Rhinolophus ferrumequinum: one gene and its partner. The protein of the gene in region 2 interacts with the protein of the main gene of each other region in a pairwise test. Links are inferred from orthologs where the notes say so. Each region holds a gene or a part of one and is shown on either strand. Other genes may lie near its edges.

What was found.
Region 1: the proteins of RGL2 (region 2) and RAP1B interact in a two-hybrid assay, tested with the Homo sapiens proteins (2 studies listed by BioGRID and IntAct). The link is inferred for Rhinolophus ferrumequinum from reciprocal best matches to the Homo sapiens genes RGL2 and RAP1B.

Annotation. Positions count from the first base shown.
Region 1 is NC_046293.1:64,826,488-64,838,573, reverse strand, and holds the start of RAP1B (ras-related protein Rap-1b), read right to left. Parts: upstream 4,785-12,086; 5' UTR 4,602-4,784; intron 1-4,601. UniProt on the Homo sapiens protein: GTP-binding protein that possesses intrinsic GTPase activity. Contributes to the polarizing activity of KRIT1 and CDH5 in the establishment and maintenance of correct endothelial cell polarity and vascular lumen.
Region 2 is NC_046286.1:3,640,500-3,652,797, forward strand, and holds the start of RGL2 (ral guanine nucleotide dissociation stimulator-like 2), read right to left. Parts: upstream 6,030-12,298; 5' UTR 5,871-6,029; intron 5,657-5,870; 5' UTR 5,619-5,656; coding exon 5,460-5,618; intron 4,189-5,459; coding exon 4,105-4,188; intron 3,863-4,104; coding exon 3,684-3,862; intron 3,555-3,683; coding exon 3,504-3,554; intron 3,415-3,503; coding exon 3,117-3,414; intron 2,853-3,116; coding exon 2,601-2,852; intron 2,518-2,600; coding exon 2,414-2,517; intron 2,320-2,413; coding exon 2,235-2,319; intron 2,156-2,234; coding exon 2,087-2,155; intron 1,906-2,086; coding exon 1,831-1,905; intron 670-1,830; coding exon 637-669; intron 513-636; coding exon 391-512; intron 295-390; coding exon 199-294; intron 118-198; coding exon 6-117; intron 1-5. Other genes in the region: TAPBP (tapasin), read right to left, coding at 7,781-7,792, 8,924-8,958, 9,071-9,160, 9,243-9,584, 9,980-10,378. UniProt on the Homo sapiens protein: Probable guanine nucleotide exchange factor. Putative effector of Ras and/or Rap. Associates with the GTP-bound form of Rap 1A and H-Ras in vitro.

The DNA of each region.
Region 1 (12,086 bases), on a different chromosome or scaffold from region 2:
AAAAAAAATTATTTTATTAAAAGTATGTATTTACTGAAATAAATTTCAAACCAACTACTGAGAAACTCAGCAACAGCTCTGTGATGTAGTCAAAGTGATGACTCTAAGAATCAACAATTTAAAGTGATCAAAATTATTTGTAACTGCTTCTAACAGATGCTCTCTTCCTTTAACATCTTTATTCAGTCTACTGGTACAACAGTTAAAAAAAAATTAATCCCCTGTGGAGAAGATTACCCAGCAAGTTGTCTCATGAGAGAAGAATTCGGTTTAAATTTACAGGGTCTCACTGACATAGTGTGCGCACACGCACACGCACACGCGTGTAGAAGCATAACCCCAAAATTATAATACTGCATAACTACAAGAGTAAGCTTAAGGATTCAGCTCAATGTAAAATTCAAAATCAGAACATTAGATACTTGCTCTTTGTGGTTAGAGTAAGATTCTTAATTTAAAAGTAACATTTCTAGTACTTGAGCACCTTATATGCCAGCAAACAGTTTTAAGCATAGTAATACTCAAGAATATTGTTCTGTATAATAAAAACCAGATGGAAATTCTGCAATTCATGTTGCAAACACTTTTTCTTTCGATTAAGTGATTTAAATATTATTGTGAAACCTGGTACAGTCCCCTCAATTTTCCTATTTTTCTTTTCTAAGTTTCAAGGTTCCTTGGAAACAGTTTCAAATTTTTTGATCTTCCACTGATACAAAGCAAAAATTCTTTCTGAATCACTACTGAAATAATAATCAATTGCTGTGTACCGTGAATTTGACTAACAGTAATAAACATACCAGTGTTAGGATGTATGGAAAAATGCTATTTCTTTTTGTTAGTGGTACATTTAAAAAAGAGATTTAAATTTTTTAAAGGCAGCACAAAAGTTCCTCATAACCTTTCTTCTTTAAAATAGAAACTCTATGACTAAAGGTATTGATCTTAGAATCCAGTGCTCAACTAGGTTCAAACAAAGTACAACAGATTATCTAGCAAGCCAGTCTTTACTACAAATGGATAAATTCATTGTATGTAGCTACTGCTTCCATTGTGTTCATAAGGTTTCCACAGAACTGATAAACTAAAAGACTTAAATCCTCAAAATGTAATTAATACCTTTCAATACTACTGCAAAATATCTAAGAACACTGAAAAACATGAGGCTTTCAGCACAAGGGTGCCATGGTACAGTACTCCTGATTGGTGGAAAACTTGTCCAATGTTACAATGAATCATTACATCAGCCAAAATGTCTGTTTCTTAATTTTTTCTAAAAGAAATTCAATTGGAAAAGGTTAACAGTAAAAATATCAGCCTAATCTCTAAGACCATGGAGTCCTCAAAAATGATAGTAGGGGGAAAAATACCAAGGCATGTATTTAGCCACAACCTTATATGGTCTTACAAAGTTTAAGAAAGATCTATCTTTTCAAGTTTTCCTAGACCGAACATGTAGACATCATTGCCATCATGGAAACAACAGCTTTCTAATATTTAGTTCATAAATACTAAATGACTCCTGGTGCCAGTCAAATCTAGAGACTACAAATCAATACCCACCTTCTTTATCCACACACACACACACACACAGGAACACATAAAACATTATTTTAAGTCTTTAGGAAAATGATCCATGCGTATCAGGAAGAAGTTGGTATTCAATAATAAAATTGCCTATTTAAATTACATTCTGGGGGGAAAAAATGACAGATTTATAAAATCAGCCAAATTCTCTTTGTATCAGATCTAATTCCACTGATTACCCTTCTTTAACAAATATTCATCAAGTGCCTACAATTAAAGTCAAAACTGAACATGAGCAGTTTCTCAACCAAATCTTAAACTTTAATTTTATTTTTTTTAAGGAGGGTGCAGCGCACAGTGGCCCACTGGGGATGGAATCTGGGGATGGAACCAGCAACCTTGTTATTAGCACTATGGGCTAACCGACTGAGCTGACTGGCCACCCCCTGACTTTATAACAACATGTATAATTAGTTACCATGTTATCAACCTCTGCATAACAGGCCTTCTACCAAAATACATTGGAAATTACACTTGGTAATATCCTTATGTATGTGGATCAATTCTCTATCACACTTGACTAGGCCCTCCTTACATGGTGGGTGGCTTCTTACCATGGGTGCTCATCTTCCCTTTATACAGCTAAGAGAAAATATTGAAATTCTATAGTAAAGGATTGTTTTGAAGATAAAATGGAAATCAATTAGTAAAGTTAGATTCCAAAGCCAATGTGGAAATGTTTCTTTTTGAAGGGATACAAAGTTCTCTTCAAATATCCTCTCTTTAAATGTTCATTACAGTTAATCCCTAAATCTAAATGCTAAACACTATACACACAGGCAAGTTTCTAGGAACTAAGAATACAGTGGAGAATGAAACAAAGTTCCTACCCTCATGGTGCTTCCACTTAACTGGGATTGTCTATGTGCAAGGTACCATGCCAGTGCTTTGGGGCATACAAAGAACACATCCTGTCTTTAGAGTTCACAATTTAGTGGAATAGATACATAACAAAGATACATATAAAGACAACAGAAGATAGGAAGTGATATGTGTCATAGACAGGAAGAGCGATGACTTTCATGGGGTAGGGGGAAGGCAAAAGACACGAAGAGTATTCATTTTCTTGCCCTACACCACATTTTAAAATTATGCCAATTTATTACTGGGCTCCTCAGTTGTATCCTGGTACCTGGCACCTTAAAAACCAAACTGCCAAAAAACAAAAAAAACAAAAACCAAACTGCCTATATGTATTTCAAAGATTTACTTTGGGGATTCCTCAGATAAGACAGCCTCACAATTTATTGTGAATGCCAAACAAGGAAATGCAAGTAAAAACACTGTGTAGTGCAGAGATGGGCTCAAATAAAATTATCACTGAGGGCTCTGTGTCTTAACTTTATTTAATTTCCTGAGTATCAATCTCCTCTCCTAACACCTGGGAATAAAGTACCTAAACTTCCAGTTCCACTAAGGTATCCACCTTTTTTTCCTGGTATGATGGGAATATCAGCCTCTGTAAAATGTAACTCACTATAAAAATGTCATCTTTCTTCCTCTAGGGACCCTATTATAGGATAGTCCTAAAAGTCAGCAGGATTACTAATTAGTTATCTTTTCTAGGCCTCAGTTTCCTCCTCATAAAATGAGAGGGTGGGACTGGATGATCTAAATAAATTAGTCCTTTATGGGCCTTAAAAAAGTCCCATGACTCCATTATGACTCAAATACTACTTAAGAGTCAGCTTTTGGGAGTGATACGAACTAGAAGTTAAATGAACGTCTTCCTTTTTTATAAGTTACTTCTTGCTAAGATAAGGTTTTGTTGAGCAAGTCCAAACAGCATTCTAATTACAAAAAAAGAGAGTTAATGAATTTACAAGTTAGAAGCTTTAAGTTACCAGCACTCGATATATATTACATGCTATTATCAAACAAAAATCCAATTAGACTGAAATAATTTTAAAATATTAAAAATCACAATCTTCATGTAGTGTCAACTTTCTACCCCGTGAAAAACGTGACTTCCCGTTACTGTAATCCAAAACTGCTGATGTTCATACGAAACAGGAGTAGCAGGGCAAAAATGGTTTTCTAAACTAATAAAGAGGATTGGGGGGGGGGGGAGCAGGCGAAGGGAAAGCAAATCTGCTTAAACCTGCAAGGATGATCTTTTCTCCAAAAGCCCTCAGTTTTTTCAGAAGAAAAATCGGATGCTCCGGTTCACTGGAGGTAGGTTTAAATAAAATTCATGGCGCTGACAGTCAGTTTTAGGATTGGACAGAATCGAGATGGCGAAAAAGAGAAGAGTACAAACTTCCTGGGTTTTCTCTCCTTCTGTAAAAGATTTCCTCTTGCTGACGAAGGGGAAAGGCCCCTTTAACAGTTTTTCCCTACGCAGTGGTTGCTGCCAGACTAGGTGGGGCTCCCTCCGCGGCCGTCCTCCTGCCACTTCCCTCAACAAATGGAGCAAACCAGCCCCGTTTCAGGCAAACTTTTTCCTTGTCAGGCTCGAGCCTGCAGGGCGCCGGGGAGTGGTTTCCCCCGAACGCCACTCGCCCAGGCTCGGGGCTGGGGGAAGCTGGGTCTTTGCAAAAGACAACTTTCTGGTTTCCGTTCTAACTTCCACCCACACCAGGAAGAGAACCGAGGCGGCCAGCGAGGGGGCTCCGGGACGGGGGACTACAGGCAAGGAGAGAGGTTAAGGCGGCCGCGGGCAGAAAGGAGTGGTGCTGGGGGGGGTCCTCGGGCTCTCACTTCCTCCGCCATATTTCAGACATTTGACCCCTTCCGCAAAGCGCGCTGTTTCCCCGCGGCGGCGGCGGCGGCGGCGGCAGCAGCTCGCCCCCGCCGGCCCGGGAGGCAGCGCGCTCGCCGGCCCGGCGCCGGTCCCTCGCACCACCTGCCGCGCTCCGAGACCGCCGCCGCCGGGGCCCCTGACCGCCGCGCGCGCCCCGCCCGGCCCGCGCCGCACCCCACCCGCTCCTCTGAGCCGGCGCCGGGCCCCCGCCCCGCGCGGCCGCGGCCGCTGCCGCCGCTCCCTTCATCGGCCACGCACGCACTCTGCGAACCTCTCACGCTGTCACCGAGTCCCCGCAGCCAGCGTCGCCCCGCGCCTCGCGCTTCCTCCGGGTCGCTGGTCCCGGCGCCACGGCGGTCCTGCCGCTGCCGCCGCCGCCGCCTCTCCGGCTGGTTTACACGCCTGACTCTGGGCGAGGTTTGGCGGTGTCGCCTTGACGTCAGGCGTTCAGCCTCGCTCTCGCTTCCGCCCGCGGGCGGGGTGCGCGGGTACGAGGCCCGGGAAGGGGCGGGGCCGCGGGGCGGAGCGAGGGGAGCCGAGGGGCGGGGCCTTCCGCGCCTTCGCGGCGGCGGCCGGACACGCGCGGTACCCTTCACGGTGTTTCCTCCGCGGTGTTTCTCTCCGGCCCCCACCGCCCCTTCAAACTGGCCTCGGCCCTCTGGCTCCGGGAGGATCCGCGTGTTGGCTTCCCGGACGTCAGCGGGTTACACTATTGTGAAGGGCTTAGAAACCCTCCGAAACTCAAAAGGTGTCTTTAAGGCAAACTGGAATTCAGTCACTAACGCCACCAAACAGTTGGTGACTGCGTATTCCTTTGTGCTGGGGAAAGTGGCTGGAGAAGTAACCCAGCGCGCAGTGTCCACACCTAGAGCCTCGTGAAGGTTTTTTTCTTGAATTGACAAGTATTTCATCCTCTGGTGTGTTAACCCGGGTGAACTCTTTCCAATTTACTTTGCCAAAGTCAGTTAACAAATCGATGATCCCAAACAATTTTGTACTCTGAGCCTAAATCAACCGTTTATATGAATAAAATAAATCGCCTATTTAAATGCATGACTCGGGCACTTTAAAGGGTTACTCATAGGTAGGTTTATGATGTGACTGGTGGGCAACAGAAAGCACTTTCGGTTCCAAAAAGTGCGGGAACTTAACCATTATTAGGGAAAAGACTGAACTACACCTACCCTTCCTACAAGACATCGGCTTTTTTATGAACCGAAGTTTTGATGGGCGAGAGGTTCAAAGAGAGCAAAGTGCAGGGTAAAGTAGGGGTTTGGGGCGGGGAGTCATTGAATTCTGAATGAATGAATTTCAAATAAATTTAACTTTACTGACTTTACAATTATTGCGTGAAACTGTGAGAATTCTGAAAGCCTGAAACTCTGAGTTCATGGAAGCAGATATTACCTGGGTGTACTGTTTTGTTTTTTTCTTTCTTTTTCTTCTTTTGTTTTTGAAATTCTACTTGACCTTTGGGCAATTGATTTTTTTTCATAGTCAGTTTTAGAAGATTGGAGCTAGAATTATTCAAAGTTTGAGAGAATGTGTAAAATAGTTGAAAATACATTTGTTTTATTCCGTTATACTGGAAATCATTAAACTTGTATTAAACTATTATCTCTATGTAGGAAATTCATGCAGAATGCTAGAATCTACATCTCTTAGCACTGAACTCACTTTTGGGTTTGAGCCCCTTTTTCCTATTTCCTTGAAATCTTCACTAGGATATTCCACTGGCAACTTGAACTGGTCATGTGTGCAAACTGAAGTCATCACCTTTGTCACAAAACCAGTTTCTTTTCATTAACCGTTATCACCATTTTTGAAATTACCCAGCCTTCAAACCTGGCACTCTGTTCTCTGCTTTTTCTCCAACCATCAGTCAATTGGCACATCTATTAGTAAATCATTTCTACTAAGAACACCCTTTTTGGGTGGGCACTACTTCTCAACTCTTAGACTTAAGCCTTGTGGACTCTGGTCTGTTTCTGCAGTGATCCATTCTACACCTTGTTGCCAGATGAATTATCTTAAAGCATACTGAGCAAGTCACTCTCTTCCTCAAAGAGTCTTCTGTTACTCCCCCGCCATACCAAAATAAAGTTAAAATTCTTGTGTCTTACACTCCCATTTCATTTAAAACTGCCTTCCAGTCAAAGTGGACTTTTCATCTTGCCCAAACATAGTGCTTGCCCACTCCTCTGGTGTGCAGAGGTGACTTCCTCTGCCTGAAATGCCCTTTCCCACCCCTGCGCATTATTCAAAGTCTTCACTTTCTCCAAGAAAGAGCATCTTTTCTGATATTTTCAATCTAATGTGGTTTCTTCTCTTTCGACTCTGAGTAACACTGTGGTGCTCCTTTCTTTTGTCACTTGTTTTGTACCTTCCTACTTGAACAAGTGTTCGCAAACTTTTTCTTTAAAGAGCCACATAATAAATATTTAAGACTTTGAGGGCCAGATGGTCTTTGTTGTAACTACTCAACTCTTGCCTTTCTTGTGCAAAAACAGCCATCGGATATATAAAGAATGAGTGTAGCTGTATTCTTAATAAAACTTCATTTATGGACACTAAAATTTGAATTCTGTAAAATTTTCCCATGTCACAAATATTCTTCTTTTTTAAAACATTTAAAAATGTGAAAACTATTCTTACCTCCTCTGTACAAAAACAGGCAGTGGGCTGGATTTGGGCAGCAGGCCATCATTTGCCCTCCTATACTCAGGGCCAGCCTCCTGGACATGTGACAGGGCCTTGTGCTTAGAAAGGCCCCATGATTTGTTTAATGCTCTGATGTCACCATCTTGAAATTTTTAATAACTTTTGAACAAGAGGCCTGCTTTTTCATTTTGCACTGGGTCCCTCAAATTTTGTAGTTGGTCCTGCCTGTACTAGAAGATAAAATCATAAGATCAGGATATATATTTTTTCATGTTTGGCATGGTGCTTTTGACATAATAGGCATTCGAAATGTATTCGTTGAGTTTTCTTTTCCTAAGGTGCTGTGGAATAGTGGAAAACAGGATAGTTGATGTTCACTTCCACCACTTATTAGCTGTGTGTTCTTAGGCAAATTCCTTAACCATGTTGAGACTTGGTTTTCTCATCTATAACATGGGGATAATAACCTCTGGCTTGCAAAACTGTTGTAAGATAAAGTATAGAAAATAGCCATATCCTAGCCCCTGGGACTAGAGGAAGCTCAACATTAGTTTTTCCCCTTTCAGGGGAAGTGAATTAATAGTGTGCTCACCTAAAATTCTTGATGCATTTAACCTGATACAGTATTCGTGATTTTTCATGTTATTTACCTCCTTAAGAGTTTTACTTCATGTAACATCTATACCTCATTAGCTTCATTTCAAAAGTCCATATAAGTGCATGTCTTATTGCAAATCCAAAATTAGATTTAAAACACCCCAAATTTACAATTTTCCTAATTAACAGTTAATGATTATTAGCATTAACAAGTGTTATGCTGTTTAGCTTTCAGTTAAGCATGGTTATCGGTTAGCACTGATAGTCATTAACCTTAAATATTATTACTTTATTTCATTCACAAAACAATATTGAAAATTGATCTTTTCAAGGCACTTTCTTACTGGTTTTCTCTCTCTGTGTGTGTGCATATGTGTATATGCATGTATGTGTGTGTGTATATACACTATATATATTTATCATAATATATATAAATATATATTGTATAATATATAAATATATAAAGATATATATAGTGTGTATATATATAGAGTATATATATAGTGTATAACATATAAATACACTATATATTTTTATATATATATATAGTGTATAATATACAAATATAGTTCTATTCCTTTGCAGTACCCTGCATAGCTGGAATTGGAGGTTGAGAAGTATAAGAAGGCTGCTTGTTGATGCAAAAAAAGAAAAGCCATGGCTTAAATCCTCAGTTAGTTTCATTTTGTTTTCTTGGTCAAAGACTGTATTCAAACTCTGTGCAGTTATTTTATAAATTCTAGCACCTAATCACTTGAGAAACCTATAAGAGCATATTAGACCATTGCTATTATGGGAAAACCCAGAACTCATACTCTCCTAGGGTAGTTTGTGTTCCTTTAAGATTTCTGTCTTGGGGAAACCAAATACTTATATGTAAGAAAAAAATGAGGCAGTTTGGCATGTTTTCTACTCTGTAATAACTGCTTATTTGTCTCAAGATATATGTCAAATTCTGTCTGTACTCTTTTTCAGCAGTTGTAGGCTTGGCCACCAAACCTGCCTACACCACACTAAATAAATCTAACTGTTCTATAATTTTGTCATTGCTAATGTCTGTGATGTAATGAACAGATTATACTTGAAATGTCCCCCTTTCTTAAGCTGTAACTGAGAAAAACCATATAAATGAAAATGATGTTCCCAGAGCCATCATGTAAATGAGCGTTAAAGCAGAAAACCACTCAGTGAACCAACTTGATAGAATACCCCTTGTCATGAAATTTTCGAAAAAAATTTAAGAAAATCTTCAAAAACCACATATATAAATGCTTTTAGAATCTGGGGAGTCCCCAAATCAAACAGACAATATAATCACGCCAAAGATGCTCCAGAGTTAGGCATCCCCTCAGACTTTATCATGATAGTATTTAGCCTCTAGTCCTTCTTACTTCAAGTTCTGTGTACGAATCACATACCTCAATAATAAATACCAAATTCAAGAGGTAGATTTTAATGACCCATTGTACAGGTGAGAAAGCTAAAGCTTAGAAAAGCTAAGTGCCAAGGCCATGCATAAATACGTGGGCAGAGTTGAAATTTGTATCGTTGTCTGCCTTCTTTTGGCACCATGCTGCCCTATTATCCCTTTATAAATGCTGTTCTTTCAGCCAGAAAATCTCTTCTGTCTCTTTTGTATTTATCTAAATCTTGGTCATTGTTCACGACCCAGTGGATTCTTGCTTCTCAGAATTTCCCTAGTAATTATTGTTTGTACCACTCGTTTGATATTTATCAGACACGGCCTTACTTAAATTGTGTTTGTCTTCCTCCCATCATGAGATCCTTGAGAACCAAAAGCATATTTTTTTTGTACCTATCATACAGTCTGGCATATTAGATATAAAATGTAGTGTTTTTTGTGTGTGTGGGTGGGGTATCTTGATAATTTTCGTTAGATTCTCCAAGCTGATCATAGTGGATGTATGACCTCTGGCAGTTATTTAACCTTTCCAAGTTTCTTTTTAGTAATTTTTAAAATAAATGCACATAACAATATCTGTAATGTAGTGCTTTAAAGATTTTATAGAATAATGGACCAGATATAAAAATGTAAGTAATAGAGTAGCTATTAAGTGGATTGGTTCTGGAATCAGATTGTAAGTGTTCAAATACAGGCTCCATTCATCTTAGGGAATTTACTTCTGACACCTCAGTTTCCTCATTGTAAAATGAATACAGTGATAAAACCTGCATTATGGAATTATGGTGAGGATTAAAACAGTTAACGACAAAAACAGTATAATGCCCACCACGAAGTAAGCACTTTTATACATGTTAGCTATCGTCACCTAAAAGATTCTCAATAAATGTTGGTCCCTACTACATTCTCTGGCACAATAAAACTTTGTGAAAACATAGTAAGAATTCAACAAGTGCTTGTTAAACTTTCCTTTTACTTTGCTTATGACAGTCCTCAGTTAAGGAGTGGTTGTGTTCTCAAGTTTCTTTATGTCAGTGGCTTGTAACTTGAAAATATTTCTGTAATGCAAACAATGCTGTAAATTTTATAGCATGGGTAGCTTATAATAGAATGTGATTAGTAGAGAAGCTAAAAAAAAAACAACCTGTTTGAATCCCTAGATACTAAATACAGTTCTTAAAGAATTATTTCAACTACTGCTAATCAGCGTTTAGAACACTGTTGCCTTAGTTTTCATCGCACCTTATTCTCATGAGAGTCTTCTTTTCTCTCTGGCTGGTTCATACTCTTTCTTTGGGCTATCTCTTCTTCCTCCTTACCTGTAAGGGCTGGAATCCCTCAGAGCTTGATCCTGGGCCCTTTCCTTGTTGTGTACTTTCTTCTGGGCAGTTCCAGTCTTTCCCATGGCTTTATATGCCATCTAAATGTCAACGGCTCATAGATCTGTATCTGAAGTTCAGACTTCTCTGGCGAACTCTGGATATGTAGAGCCAGTTAACTCTTGGAAAGTTTCTCCTTGATTGATCTCCCCCAAACCTGCACTTCCTCTAGGAATCCTTATCTCAACAAATGGTACCAGCTCCCTAAAACAGAAACCTAACATTTCCCTTTACCTTACATACCAAATTCTTCACCAAGTCCTCTTGATTCTACTTCTGAAATCACTAAAATATGACCACCTTTCTACATTTCCATTGTCTGGTTGGTTTATGTACTTTTACTCTTGTCCCTCTTCCCATCTATTCTCCAAATAGTGGTCTTAATTAAAAAAAAAAATTATAATGGCAAATTTCAAATATACATAGAGAGAAGAATTTAATGAGCCTCCATGTACACATGTTTCAAAATGTCCCCTAATTTTTGCTACTCATGTTTCATCTGTACTTTTTTTTTTTTCCGTATTCGGGTAGTTTCAGGGTAATCCTATAAATATTTCAGTAGGCATCTCCCACAGATAAAAACATTAAAAAAATATAACCACAATGCCATTATCATATGTAACAGAAATAAAAAAGTTCCTTAACAAAATATAATACTGAGTTCATATTGAAAATTTCCTGGTTGTATCAAAGATGGCTTTTCACTGTTGGTTTGTTCAGTCCAAACATTACATTGAATTATTAAGGCTTTTACATTTCTTTTAATCTCTAATAGTCCCTCCTCCTTTTGTTGAGTGAAAGATCATTTGTATATTTTATTTTGTGATGTGCCTTTCCTTATCTTTCAACTTCTGTATAAACGATATCACCTTTGCTCAAAACCTCATAATGATTCGGTGGCAAAAAACCCTGTAGCTTTTACATTACATGTCTTTATCTATAAATACAAGATTTGGAAAGTAAGGACCTCCCTTTCACATATTTATATTATGTGAAGAAAATATAGAAGATGGATTGGGAACTATTCATTCACCCCTGAATCCAGAGAAGAAGTGCAGTTATTAAGCATATATTACATGTTAGGAACTTATCTTATATGATCTTTTAAAAAAATTCTTTGCGTTGGGTATTTTTATCCCTGTTTTCAGGTTAGGAAACAGATTGAGGGAGGCTATGTAAAAAATACGAGGCTACAATGTCAGTTGAAGGCAGGGCCAGGATTGAAGCCCAGGTCTCTCATGCCCAGGGGTTCATGGTCTCTCTATCCTGCCATGCTACTGTAGTAATAAAGTGATGAAGTAGTGAAGGATGGTTTAAATAGGGAAAAAACTACCAAAGGACAGTTCTGGCAGATGCTTTACCCAGATTAAAAAAAGAAAAAAAAAAGAGGCCTCCCCAGGTGTATGTCAGGGGAGTAGATTATTTTGGCTCAAGCTGAATATTTGAGAAAATAATTACTTAGTGAGATTCTTACAAAAATTGGTAAAAGTCTGCAAAAGTTGAACAGTGGCAGAAGCGGACTTCTAAGGGCATTTATCTCTCAGTGCCCTGCTCTAGCTGATCCTGTCTGTTTTTTTTTCCTTTTAAAATTAGATCCTTTTGTCTTTTTTAAGATGGACTTTAACATCACTAATGTGCTTATACATTTCCTTCCTGATATTCAGCAGATCTCAGAACCACAACATTTTTTTCACTA
Region 2 (12,298 bases):
CTCACCTGGGCCAGCCGGGTCAACAGAGGAGCAGGGGCTCCAGGTACCTCATCTCCCCCAACACTGGGCCGGTCCCAAGAGACAAGGGGGGTGGGACCCCCAACAGAGCCCAGAACCCTGGAGTGGCAGGAGAAGGGGAGGGTCAGAGGAAGAAGGCAAGTCGCCAAGACACTACCCCCAAACCACCGACTGCCTCACTCAGTCCACTGCGAGATGACCAGTGTTGGCCGAAGCACTCGAGGGGCAGGAGAGTCACTGGTCCCAGGTGGCTCCACCTCACAGGACACTCGATGGCTAGGGAAAGGGACAACGAGCAGAGGTCAGGCTGTGACACACTGAGCCCCACAGCCTGCCCGAGCCCTGGCGTCCAAACCTCACCCAGCCAGTCACCTCTGGGCCTCTGTCAATGGCCGGAGCCCCTGTAGCCACTGCTGGATATCGGGGTCGGGTCGGAGGTCATAGCCACGACATTCGTTCTGGAGCCGCCGCAGCTCAGAAAGGACAGCAAACTCCTAGGAAGTGGCCCTCAGACTATAGGAGCCAAAATCCAAGGGCCCCTGGCTTGCCCTCCCTGTCCGTCCCCTTCCTGGGACATGGCTAGGGGTAGCTAGCATCCGGCCCAGGCAGTCTCCTCACCTTCCTCCGCTTGTCAAAATTGATATATCCATTCTGCAAGGATAAGGGGGATGCGGTGAGAGTCCCAGCCCTCCCGAGAGATATGCCCTCTTCCAGCACATCTGCATCCAGCGCACACACGTGACCGGGCCTCTCTGACTCCCCTGCCCCTTCCCCACCCCCTCCCATCTATCATTCCCTGAACACTCTACCTTACCTTCTAGATTGAGTATCTCAGGTAGAAATTATGTCCACTTTACAGATGAGAAAATTAAGCTCAGAGAGGATTACGAACCAGCCTAAGGTCCCAGTATTCATTTATTTGACAAACTCCATATATGCTTACATTTCAGGCATGTTCTAAGCACTTGCCAAATATTAATTCCCTTAACCTTCATAATAACAGACTAACGTAGACCCTGTGGCTAGTTTCCCATTTATAAATCACTAAGGCACGGCCAGCCCGGTGGCTCAGGCAGTTGGAGCTCCATGCTCCTAACCCCAAAGGCTGCCGGTTCGATTCCCACATGGGCCAGTGGGCTCTCAACCACAAGGTCGCAGGTTCAACTCCTCGAGTCCCGGAAGGGATGGTGGCTGCGCCCCCTGCAACTAAGATTGAACATGGCACCTTGAGCTGAGCTGCCACTGAGCTCCCAGATGGCTTAGTTGGTTGGAGCACGTCCTCTCAACCACAAGGTTGCCGGTTCGACTCCCGCAAGGGATGGTGGGCTGCACCCCCTGCAACTAACAATGGCAACTGGACCTGGAGCTGAGCTGCGGCCTCCACAACTAAGACTGAAAGGACAACAACTTGAAGCTGAACGGCACCCTCCACAACTAAGATTGAAAGAACAACTACTTGACTTGGAAAAAAGTCCTGGAAGTACACACTGTTCCCCAATAAAGTCCTGTTCCCCAATAAAGTCCTGTTCCCCCTCCCCAATAAAATCTTTAAAAAAAAATGAAATAGAAATTACAGAACACCAAGAGGTCAAGAACCTGGCCAAAAAGGTTTAAAAAAAAATATATCACTAAGGCACAATGAGGTCAGCAACTTGCCAAAGGAACAGAACCAAGACCCCGGCACTCTGGCTCAAGTCCCGGTGGGTCCTCAGTGCTTCTGCCTGCAGCCGCTTTCAGGAGGGAGTTCTGTCTGACCCCGAGGACCATTTGTTCTGTCATTGCACTGAACACATGAACACACACAGCACTGACCTCCAGCTCATCCTTGGAGGCTGCATCCAGCATCACCAGGTCTTTCAAGAAAGTGCCAAGGTAGGGAACCACACCCTGAGGTCAGAGGTCAGAGTCAGACAGACCTGAGGGCTCTCCATCCCTCCACACTTTCCCATTCCATTGCCTCAGAAGACACAGAAAATTGTCCTCATCCCTCTGTGCCTTCCTTTTCTGTCCCTCAGACGGCACCCCACACACACTCCTTAGTCCTTCACAACCACTCCCAGGCACTCACCCCACCACGGGAGCCAGACTTCAGGGCCTTCTTGGAATTTGGCTCCAAGGAGGGCCGCACCTTCACCTCCTGGGGGTAACAGAACAAGGAGATATGGGGGTGGGCGGGGGAGTAGGGATGGCTAGGAACACCAGGGAACAGGCCTCACCTGCAGGAGCAGCTCCCGGCTCTGGGAATAATTATCCTCCTCGGAGAAAATCTGGCAGAGGCTGGAGAAGACCCTGAGGCTGTCCCTGGGGAATGGAGGGCAGAAGGCGTGAGGACAGGCCTGGCTCGGCACCCCCCTTTCCCAGCCCTCAACCCAGTCCAGTGTGCCATCTGGCCCACCTGGCTGCTTCTCCCCAGGCTGCCCGAAGCCTGTGGATGGGGCTGGACTGCAGGGCTGACACAACAGCATAAACTGAAGAGAAGTTTCGGAGTAGACGGCACTCCTGTGAGGGTCACAGAGGGAGGCTGAAGCTGTAGGACCTCTCTCCACATCATGGTCCCCGACAGGGCTAATCCTCTCTCTTACCTCTGCCACTCGGATCCACTTCTCCAGGAGCCGGGCCCTCTGGGGAGGACGGAGTGGCCGTATGGTCACCTCCCCAGGCTCCTCTCCGGTTGAAGTAGCCCCCAGGACAGAGCTGACCACTGCCCCTGCCACCTTGTTGAACTGTGTGACAGTAGCTCGGACAGATGGGCAGAGGTGGGAATGTCCCGGCCGGTCTCTGTGACCCCACAGGCCCCCCAGGCACTGAGAGGGGATCAGATTAAGAAACAGCTCCTGTGGGGCAGAGGTCAGAGGTTAAAGTTCATAGACAAGAGAGGTCAGCCTTCCAATATTAGGGGTGTGAAGCTCTTAGTTGGCCAAGGAACCAGAAGGGCACAGGGTTTGAAGGGTAACAACCAAGGGGAAAAGGGGAAAAGTCAAAACTGGGTGGACGGAGGAGGCTGGGAACTGGATCAGGAAGGGTTGGAAGCAAGGAAAGGATCTGGAGTCAGGGAAAGGTTAGTAAAGGGGCAGGGGGCATGGGGGTCAGGGTCTCACCGCATCTAGCAGGGTCAGCTGTTCGGCCAAGTGGTCAGCGAGGAACACCAGGACATCCGTGGGGTCAGCAGGGGGATCGCCGGGGAGGGCCAGGGGCTTAGGAAGGTCGGGGGTCTGGGGGTCCACCCGGGACCGGAGGTTGCGGATGAGGTCAGCGCTGCCCCCCCCAACACCCTCCCCTGCTGCATACCCTGTCCGAAGCAAGAAGCTCTCAAGCCGGTCAAGCTGACCCTTGACCTCAGAGCCAAAATCCTCAGGGTGAGAGGCCAGCCAGGTTGACAGCACAGAGATGGCTACCCTGGGAGAAAAGGAATCAGCCAGGGGTCAGATGTCAAGCTGCAGCTCAGGCAGAGGGGCCTGTGAGGTTAAGAAGCAGGGGTCACTCACCCTTTTGTCCTCTCTAGTTCATCAGTAGGATGAACTTCAAGGGCTTCCAGCCTGGGGTGGGAGAGAGATTCTATCTGTCCATTTTTCCCAAACCCCCAGTGGCTTTGACTATTTTGGTGGGATATTCTGGCTTTAGAAAGTCCAGACACCTCTGTGACCCTTGGTCCCTCTGACCCTGACCTGTCAGCCATAAGCCCTAGCAGGGCAGGAGTGGAGGTGAAGGCCCGGTGGGTGGCCAGGAAGGTTGCAGTGAAGGTCACGTCAGCCCCTGATGTCCGAGCATCCAGCAGGTGTCTGACCAGAGCCTCCAAAGTGCCAGCTCGGATCTTTCGGGAGGAACGCGGGGGAGGTGTTGGGGCCTGGAGAAAACACAGGTCAGTCACTACCCCTTTCTTCAACTCTGCCCCTAGATCTCTAGGGAAACCCCCTTCTAGGAGATAATCCAGGCTCATTGTGTTAAAATTCAGAGAGGGCCAAAGACTTGACCTAAGTCACACCGCAGAGTCCAGGTCTCCAGACCTCCAACCTAGCACTCTGGCCTAACAGTTGGCCATTCTGGGGTTGATGCGTCAGAGGTGAGAAGCCAAAGTTATGATCTCACCAAGGGATCAAGAGGCCGATACTGGCGGCTTGTGACAGTAAAGATGGCACCATCCTCCTTCTCATCCCAGATAGACACAGGGGCCTGCAGAAATAAGGAAGGGGAGGTCAGATAGGCCCACACTACCACCCACTGCCCCCAGCCCTCACCCCCAGGCCCTACTCCTCCCTCTGTACCCCTCACCTGTGGCGGAAGGGGACAGTACCAGCGAGTGCGAGGGGTGGGGGGGGCTGGTGACCCCAGGTCTCCCCCACTGGGGCTCAGACAGCCCCACCCAAGCCGCCTCAGGGCCCGGTGGAGTAGAGGGGGTTGCAGTGGAGGGGTGGGTGGAATGCAGAAACCCTGATCCTGGAGACTACCGTAGCCCCTTCCCCCCAGAGCTGAACCCCAACCCAAAAGAGAAGCAAGGTGCAGAGGGTAGGAGAGGGAAGCGACAGACAGAAAGCTAGAGGCAGAGACCTTGAGAAGCTGAAACCTCAGTCACAGGCACAGCCGCATGCTCCGCCCTCCCCAGAAGGAACTGGAAAGCCCAGAGAGTTAGTCCTTCCCCTTAGCCCCTTCCCCTGGTCCCTGGTCCCTGGAGACCCCCCTCAAGGTGGCGGCTCCGATGCCAGTACAGGAAGGAGAAGGGGAAGTGGGGAAGATGTGTGTGTGTGGTGTGGGGGGGTAGACTCTGAGAGTCACGTGGCTCCAGCCCCTCCCCCAGCCGATCCCGAAAAACCAGCCCTGCCAGTCACCCTGCCCTCACCCAGCCCTTGGACCCTAGAGCCCAGGGCCTCCGGGCCCCAAATCCAACTTCAGGCCCTTCCTGAGGCCCCAAATCCTGCTCCTGGCCACCACTATTCGTCCGGGAGGAAAGCAGGTGACCATCCCGGCTCAGCCTGGGACCGTCCCTCCAAGATTCAAGAACCTTGGCTTCCCACCTCCACCCAGCGCCCAGAGGGAGAGGGGGAGGGGTCACGAAATCGAAGGGTTCCCTCCCCAATCCCAGAGTCAGAGGAGCCGGTTACTGTGGAAACAAACCCCTCCCCGCCAAACAAAAACAAGGGACCAAGACACAAAGCCCAGAGAGGAAGGCACACTCAGGCCCTGGTGGAGAGGGCCAGAGACCCGCAGGACAGCCAGCCAGACGCTCCTGGTAGTAACAGAGCAGGTTCCTGCGGGCAGGTCCTGAGTCACACTGCCACAAAGAACCACAGAAACGCCAGGACTCCCCGCAGCCAGGGGAAAGGCAGACAGACACCAGCAAGAGGAGCGGAAATAACTGAGTCGGGGGGAAGAGATGCAGGGACACAGACACGGAAAGGTGGAGTCCCCGAAATACATCCCCCAACCTCCCACCACCTGCAGCTCACCTCGTCTTCTTCTTCCTCCTCCTCCTCCTCCTGTCCCTCGCACACGCCTCGGCCACCTGGGTCCCCACCTTCTTCGGGGTCTCGGCTCCGGAAGCTGCTCAGCACGACTCCCCCGGGGGGGCTCGGGTCCCAAAGCAGCCGCAGAGGCCGCGGGAGCATGGCCGAGGGGAGTCAGCAGGGTCGGGCCATGGGGGCGCCTGGGGAGAGAAAGGAGGGGGGGCGGGTGGAGAGGCAGGTGGGCGCCCGGGATTCGGGAGGGACGCGGGTAGTTGTCTAGGTAACGAGTCCTGCAGGGAGGCGGGGGGGGGGCAGCAACACAGGGGTGAAATATGGGGAGCCTTAGTGCATTGGGGGGATGAAGGGGTCACGAGTACGGGAACGGGCAGGATCACAAGGTGCTCTGGCTCTGACCTGCTCGGGAGGGGTGGGGGCAGCGCGCGGGTCCCGGGCAGCTGTTCCTGTCGGTCTCCAGCCCCCGACCGAGTCCCCAGACCAAGTCCCCTCCCCGGCTTTTCCGCACCCCCTTGTACCCCCCCGCCAGGCTCCCGGGCCCTCCCGCCCTTTCCGCTCCCCCCAACGTCCGCCCGTTCCGAGAGCAGGAGCCAAAAAGGGAAGGAAGTGAGGACAGGAGCCAGGCCCACGGACTAGGGGAGTGCTGGACGCCCAGGGGCCAGAGGCCAGGACCCAGGAGCCCGGGTCCCCAGCTCCGCTGTCCTCCGGCCCCACTGACTGGGGGATCCTGGAGCCCACGTCGCCCCGACTGAATTGGGATAAAGATTCTAGTCTCCAGCTCCGGGGGAGGACAGGAGAATTTGACATTCCTCTCCCCCCACACAAGACTGAAACTCCCGCGGTACGCGTTTTAGCGTGGAAGGACCCAGTTACTCCACCCCGCGGGGTTACACACCCCACCCCACCCACGCGCGTATCGGCCCGAAATCCACTCCGGGTTTTGCGGAGAGCCCTCGGGACCCGCCTCCCGCTAGGAGAGGGGGCGGAGCAGGAAGCCGCTACATCCGGTTCCAGAGTGGGCGCTCGGCAGCTTCCGGCGCTTGAGGCCGGGATCTCCGCTCCCTTGGTCGCCAGGGAAACCTTAGTGCTAGCGGGCGTCCGACCCCAAAGTGTTTCGCAGGGGGATTGGGTTTCGCCGGGAGGTCGGGGAAATTGGAAGGGACCGGAGGTGATTGGTGGAGTCATTGTGCTTAGAAAGGGGAGCCTGGGGTAGAAATGAGACACCCGTTGGAAGCACTGGAACACAACTTTATTCCCATCGGACCAAGCCCGCTCCCCCTGCCGGTCTGGCCCACCGTCCAGCCCCTCGAAGGCCCCTCCGTTGAGCCGCCGCTTCCTTCGTCCTGTACTTATTTGACCCCACGTCTGTTTTTGAATATTTAGGACCAAAAACATTCTGTAATTTCTTCCACTGAGCGCCCTCCAGTGGGCGCTAGGCCCACTGCGGGCGCGGGTTCTTGCCTTCGAGGAGCTGCGAGTCCAGAAGGGGAGACGGGCTTTAACAACGACTCGCACAATCACTTCAATACAAGCATGGTGAACCGCACTAGAGGGACACGCGGGGGTCTGAGGGGAATGACGAGGCTGACCTGATTTGGACCCCAGGGAGAGCGAGTGCGAACCCGGCAGAAGGAGCAGAGTTCTGGGACCCAACGGGAGGGTGGGAGGCCACTGGAGGAGAGGAATAGCGGTCCGTGTGACGAGCATTGAGAGGGGTGGAAGAGGTCAAGCAGTGGCACCATCGTCGGAAATGCATATTCCAAGAGCAAGAATGGATTTGGCCTCTGGAGCACCGGTTCTTCCGGTGTGGGCCCTGCCCCAGAGGTCCCTGAGACTATTGCACTAGGTATACAAAGTTAAGTCTCTTCATAACACTGCGAAGATGTTATTTGTCTTTTTCACGCCCATTCTCTTAAAAGCGTACAGTGAAGTTTTCCAGAAGGTACATGTGTACTGACATCACCCTCACAGCTAGTGGAATGTGTGCTTGTGTCTTCTGCTTTGAACTTTTCTCAGTTTTAAGTTCTAGTATGATAAATAGTTTATAACCCACATAAGCAAAATCTCTTTAGAGTCCTTGATTTTTAAGATGTCCTGAGATAAAAATTTTGAGAACCACTGCCCTAGAGCTCTTAAGAACGTGAATGCTGTAGATTTGGGTCTTGAAAAAAAAAGAATTCCAGCCATTCAGTGGAGAGAGATGGGAAGGAGCAGAAGCAGGTGATGGCATACTGGGGGGGGGGGGGGGGGCTACTGCAGCAGCTCAGGCCAGAGATGATGGTGGCTCCCCAGCATGGTGTTGAGTACCCTCACTGTACTTTCTGGAAAAGAAGTAAAAATGAGGTGAGGAATTTGAGGTTTTAGAAAGCTTGGTGAAGAGCTCATGGTTAATCCGAGATAAAGGAACCATCATGGGTACAGAGGGTGGGAGAAGAATGGGGCTAACATTTTCTGTGTTATCTGCCTGGCAGACACTGGTGAGTTTTTTTGCTCCTGCATCTGCCAAAGGAGATACACTATCTCCTTTCATCCTCCCAACGGCCCTCTGAGGGCTCCACTGTTCGGTGCGATAGCTACCACCCTCGTGTCTACTGAGTATTTGAAATGCGGTCAGTCAGAAGTGCTGACAATTTAAAATAGACACCTGTTTTTGAAGACTTAGAAAAACACACTGGAATTTCTTATATTGATTACATGCTGAAATAGTATTTTGGGTATATTAGATGAAATAAAGTATATTAAATTTACTTGTTTCTTTTTTACCTTTCAGGACGAAAAAGTTCTACGGAAAGGAACCTCCCAGGGTGACCCGATCATAACAAGCTCCTAACTGCAGCTCATGGTGGGTAGTCACGGCCCAGGTTTATAACTTCTTTAGTAAAAGATTTATCTTTGCCTTAAGCAAGCCCGGTCCATTTTTCCTGTACATCTAGGTTAACACACCTTTGAAATAAGCTGTAACGACCCTTAAGAGAGCAAATAATTTTAACTATCCTGTAATCCAGTTCCCACCTTGCTTTCTCCCACCTTCTGGTAACCTTCGTTAAGTTCCCTAAGGTACATCAAAGAAGCTGCAAACTCATTCTATGGAGCATTTGAGATCTTGCTTCCCTGTAACTGTTGTCAGTTTCGGTTCAAATAAACATAAAAATTCTCTACAGGTTTGGACGTTTCTTTCGTCAACACCTTTTGAATGTGACTACTAGATTATTTAAATTTACAGATGTGGTTGCATTACATTTCTATTGGACAGTGCTGTTATCCCTATTCCCAAGGAAACTGAGGTATTGGTTAAGTAGCATATTCAAGGCAGCAGAGTTTAACCCAGGTCTGTGTGAATTCCAAGTCTAGGTTCTGCCCACCATGCCAGCAGGCTCCCTCCATGGGTGAGGAGTTGGGGGAAGGGCATGAAATGAGAAGGGAAAGATAAGGCTAAGGTGAAGCGCTCTTACCTTCTTTGACTCCTTGGAAGCAGACAGGTAGGCAGCTGTGGAGAGAGACAGAAAGGGATGGGATGGGGCGTGGTTGGCAGGATGGCTGGCGGGCTTTTGGGAGGAGGCAGGGAGCGTCTGTAGGTGGAGGGGGCGGGGCTCACTCACCTGCCCAGCCCAGTGCCTTGAGGAGCCCCAGGAGCAGAAAAGCAGACAGGAAGAGGCCTACACCATCCTCCAGGGAGGGTCCAGAGTGACCTGGAGGGTAGGAGGGGCAAGAGTGAGTTCTGGAGTATCTTCTCAGGTACCCTCCACCCCCCTTCTCTATCCTGGCTCTTACCTGCCACTTCCAGGGTGACTTCAGCACTGCGCCCCAAGGCAGGCAGGCTGGGGTGGTGGACACGACAGGCATAGCGTGCCCCATGCTGTGCAGAGGTGACCGGGGGCAGCTGCAGGTGCCCGGAGAGACTGACAGAACCGTCAGAGTGTTGGCGCAAGGCTGAGAGCCACCTCTTTCCCTGGGCCTTCTGAAAGCTGCCCTCTGGGCCTCCTCGGAGCTCCCACTCCACTTCCAGGCCCTCGGAGGGGTAGAAATGGGACACGAGGCAGAGCAACTCGGGGGGTGCTTCCCCGGGCACAGCCCATACAAGAGGTGTTGGCATCAGGGATACTTTGGGGGGCTCTGGGAAGAGAGTAGGAAAAGAGCATGGGGTGAATCAATCCACATTGTCCTCCCTCAGAGACCCTGTTTGTCCTTTGGCTTCTCCAAAACTGAAGAGTGTCTGGGTTTCTTCTCTCAGGATGGGGAACCCACTATCTCCCCATTGGTGCATCACAGGAATCTTCATGCCAACGCCTCAGTTCTCAGGGATCCCTGTCCCCTCAGATTTGAGAACCTTCGTCCCCAAAGCCCTCAGATTCCCAGGGATCCTCCATCCGTTGCCCTTCTGACTCCCAGACACCCCAACCTATCTCCACCCACTCACCCAACATCCTCTTCTCCACCATCCCTCCCCTATCATGGTGTCTCCATAATGTCTCCCCTCTACCCGTGAGGACCCGTGTCCCCCAACTCACTCTGCACAGCAAGCTCCAGGGTGACCTGCCCTTGCAGGTATGGCAGGTGTATGGTGGCCAGATAGGCGCCCTCCTGGAAGGGCCTCACTGCAGGCAGCCAGAGGGTCCCATTTCCGGTCCATGGACCCCATGGCTCATTATCATCCCAAGCAGCAAATGCCACTGCCCCATGTCGGGCAGCTGGCATTTGCCCATCCAGCCCAGGAGTTGCAGCCAGGAGCAGGTGCCCCTTACCCTGGTGCTGGTGTCGCCACTCCAGCCCAAAGGGAGGGGGACCTGGGGCCAGAGACGTAGTGGCCTCTGGAGTGGGGGGCATGTAGGCAAAGCTCAAATCCAGCAGAGCGTCTTTTCCCAGTTGGACTTGAGTGGTGGGGGTGTGGGTGAGGACAGTCAGCACAACTGAGGAAAATGGGGAGAGCAGAGGGTGGGAGGGGCGTGAAGGAAAGAAAGGAGAAAAAAACAGAGAAATGGAGTTATAGGGAGGACTCAAGTCCAATGTTCCCACCCCTCAGAGGACACCTCCTTTTCTGAGACTCACCATCCCCAGCCCTCCCTGCAAATCGCCTGTTCTGGGACCCGGTGGGGCCAGTGTAACTGAGGCTGAGCAGAAAGGTCTAGAGGTAATGGAGCCCTTGCAGGTATAGCCCTTGCAGGCTGCTCTGAACACAGCCCGCTCAAGCTCTGGGGACAGCGGGATGTGAGTGCACTTCTGCCACAGCCCGAACCAGTCCGGTCTCCATGCACCACCCTTACAGGAGCGAGGCTTTCTTGGTTTGTTGGTGAGGACGATGACTCTGATTGTTGGTTCTATGGTGCCATGCAGGTTATTTCCTGACCCTGAACGGTTATGGCTCTGGCCTAGACCTGAACACAGACCTCTATTCTCTAATGAGGCAATGTCGCCTGGAGCCTGGCTGCCCGGGGTAATCCCAGCTCAGAAGCTATTTATGTGGCCTTGGGCCAGTTGCTTCACTTTTCCATGGCTCCCCTTCCTAATCTCCTAAAGATGACACTGATGATGCCCTGTTTCCCCGAAAATAAGACCTAGCCAGACAATCAGCTCTAATGCGTCTTCTGGAGCAAAAATTAACATAAGACCGGGTCTTATATTCTAGTAAACATGGTGATAGTATCTATTTCATGCGGTTGTAGTGAGGGTTAAATTATTTAATCCCTTTTGCTACCCAGATTTATTCAGTTCCTGGTTCTAGATAACAAAGACACCTACATATGAAAGGCACTTGGAACAGTACCTGGAACACAGTAAGTCTACAAAAGCTTTTGCTGTGATTACACCTAAGCGCCTGCCCAACTATAGCATCTCTGCAACACCCCCCACCCTGTTCCAAAGCCCATCCTTCCTGCCTTGGTGAGTGATCACCACCTGTCCCCCAGACACTAAAGGCAAACACTTGGGAGTCACAAGACTCCTTCCTCTAATTCATTCATTCAGCTAATATTTATTGAACACTTAGGATGTTTAAAGTAGAGGACAGACTAGTGAACAAGATGGGCAGTGCCTGCCCTCAGATTGCTTACAGGTTAATATGGGAGACAGATGAGGAAATTGTCGACTATAACATGCTCTGTGCTAGCCCCACCAGGTCCTAATAGATCTCACCTGTTTCCAACTCAAGTTCTCATCAATGTACATTTGGACAATTACAATAGCCCCCTCTCTGGTCTCCCCATCCTCAGTGTCTCTCTCCTTCAATTCATCCCTCACACTGTAGCCAGTGTGGCTACAAGTCTGATCCAGTCACTTGCCTGTTTAAAAATCCCTGCTACCTTGGAAACCAGCAGTTCAGGGAGCTAGATGTGTGTCCTCGGGCAAGTTACCTAACTGCTCTGAGTCTCAGACTTTTTCATGTGTGACATGGGGATAATATCAGTATGTAATTCTTATGGTTGCTGAGAAGAATAAGTGAGATTATGCCTATAAAGTGCTTAGAACAGGGACCTGGCATATAGAAAACGCTTGATAAATGTTAGCTGTTACTATTTTCATTACTATCATCATCATCATCGTCGACTGGATATCTTGGGAAAATCGTTGAATCTATATTTTCCTCATTAGTCCAATGACCTGGTCCTTGCCTACCTTTTGTAAGAATAAGTAACAGGCCGGCCCAGTGGCTCAGGCAGTTGGATCACTGTCCCTCTACAGCTAAGACTGTGAACAACAGCTCTCCCTGGAGCTGGGCTGCCGAGGTGGGCATGGACTGCCCTGGGCTGCCGTGGGCTGCCCTGAGCAGCCGGTGACCGACTGCCTCAGCTGGGAGGAGTGCAAGGCTCATAATACCTGCATGGGCCAGGGGG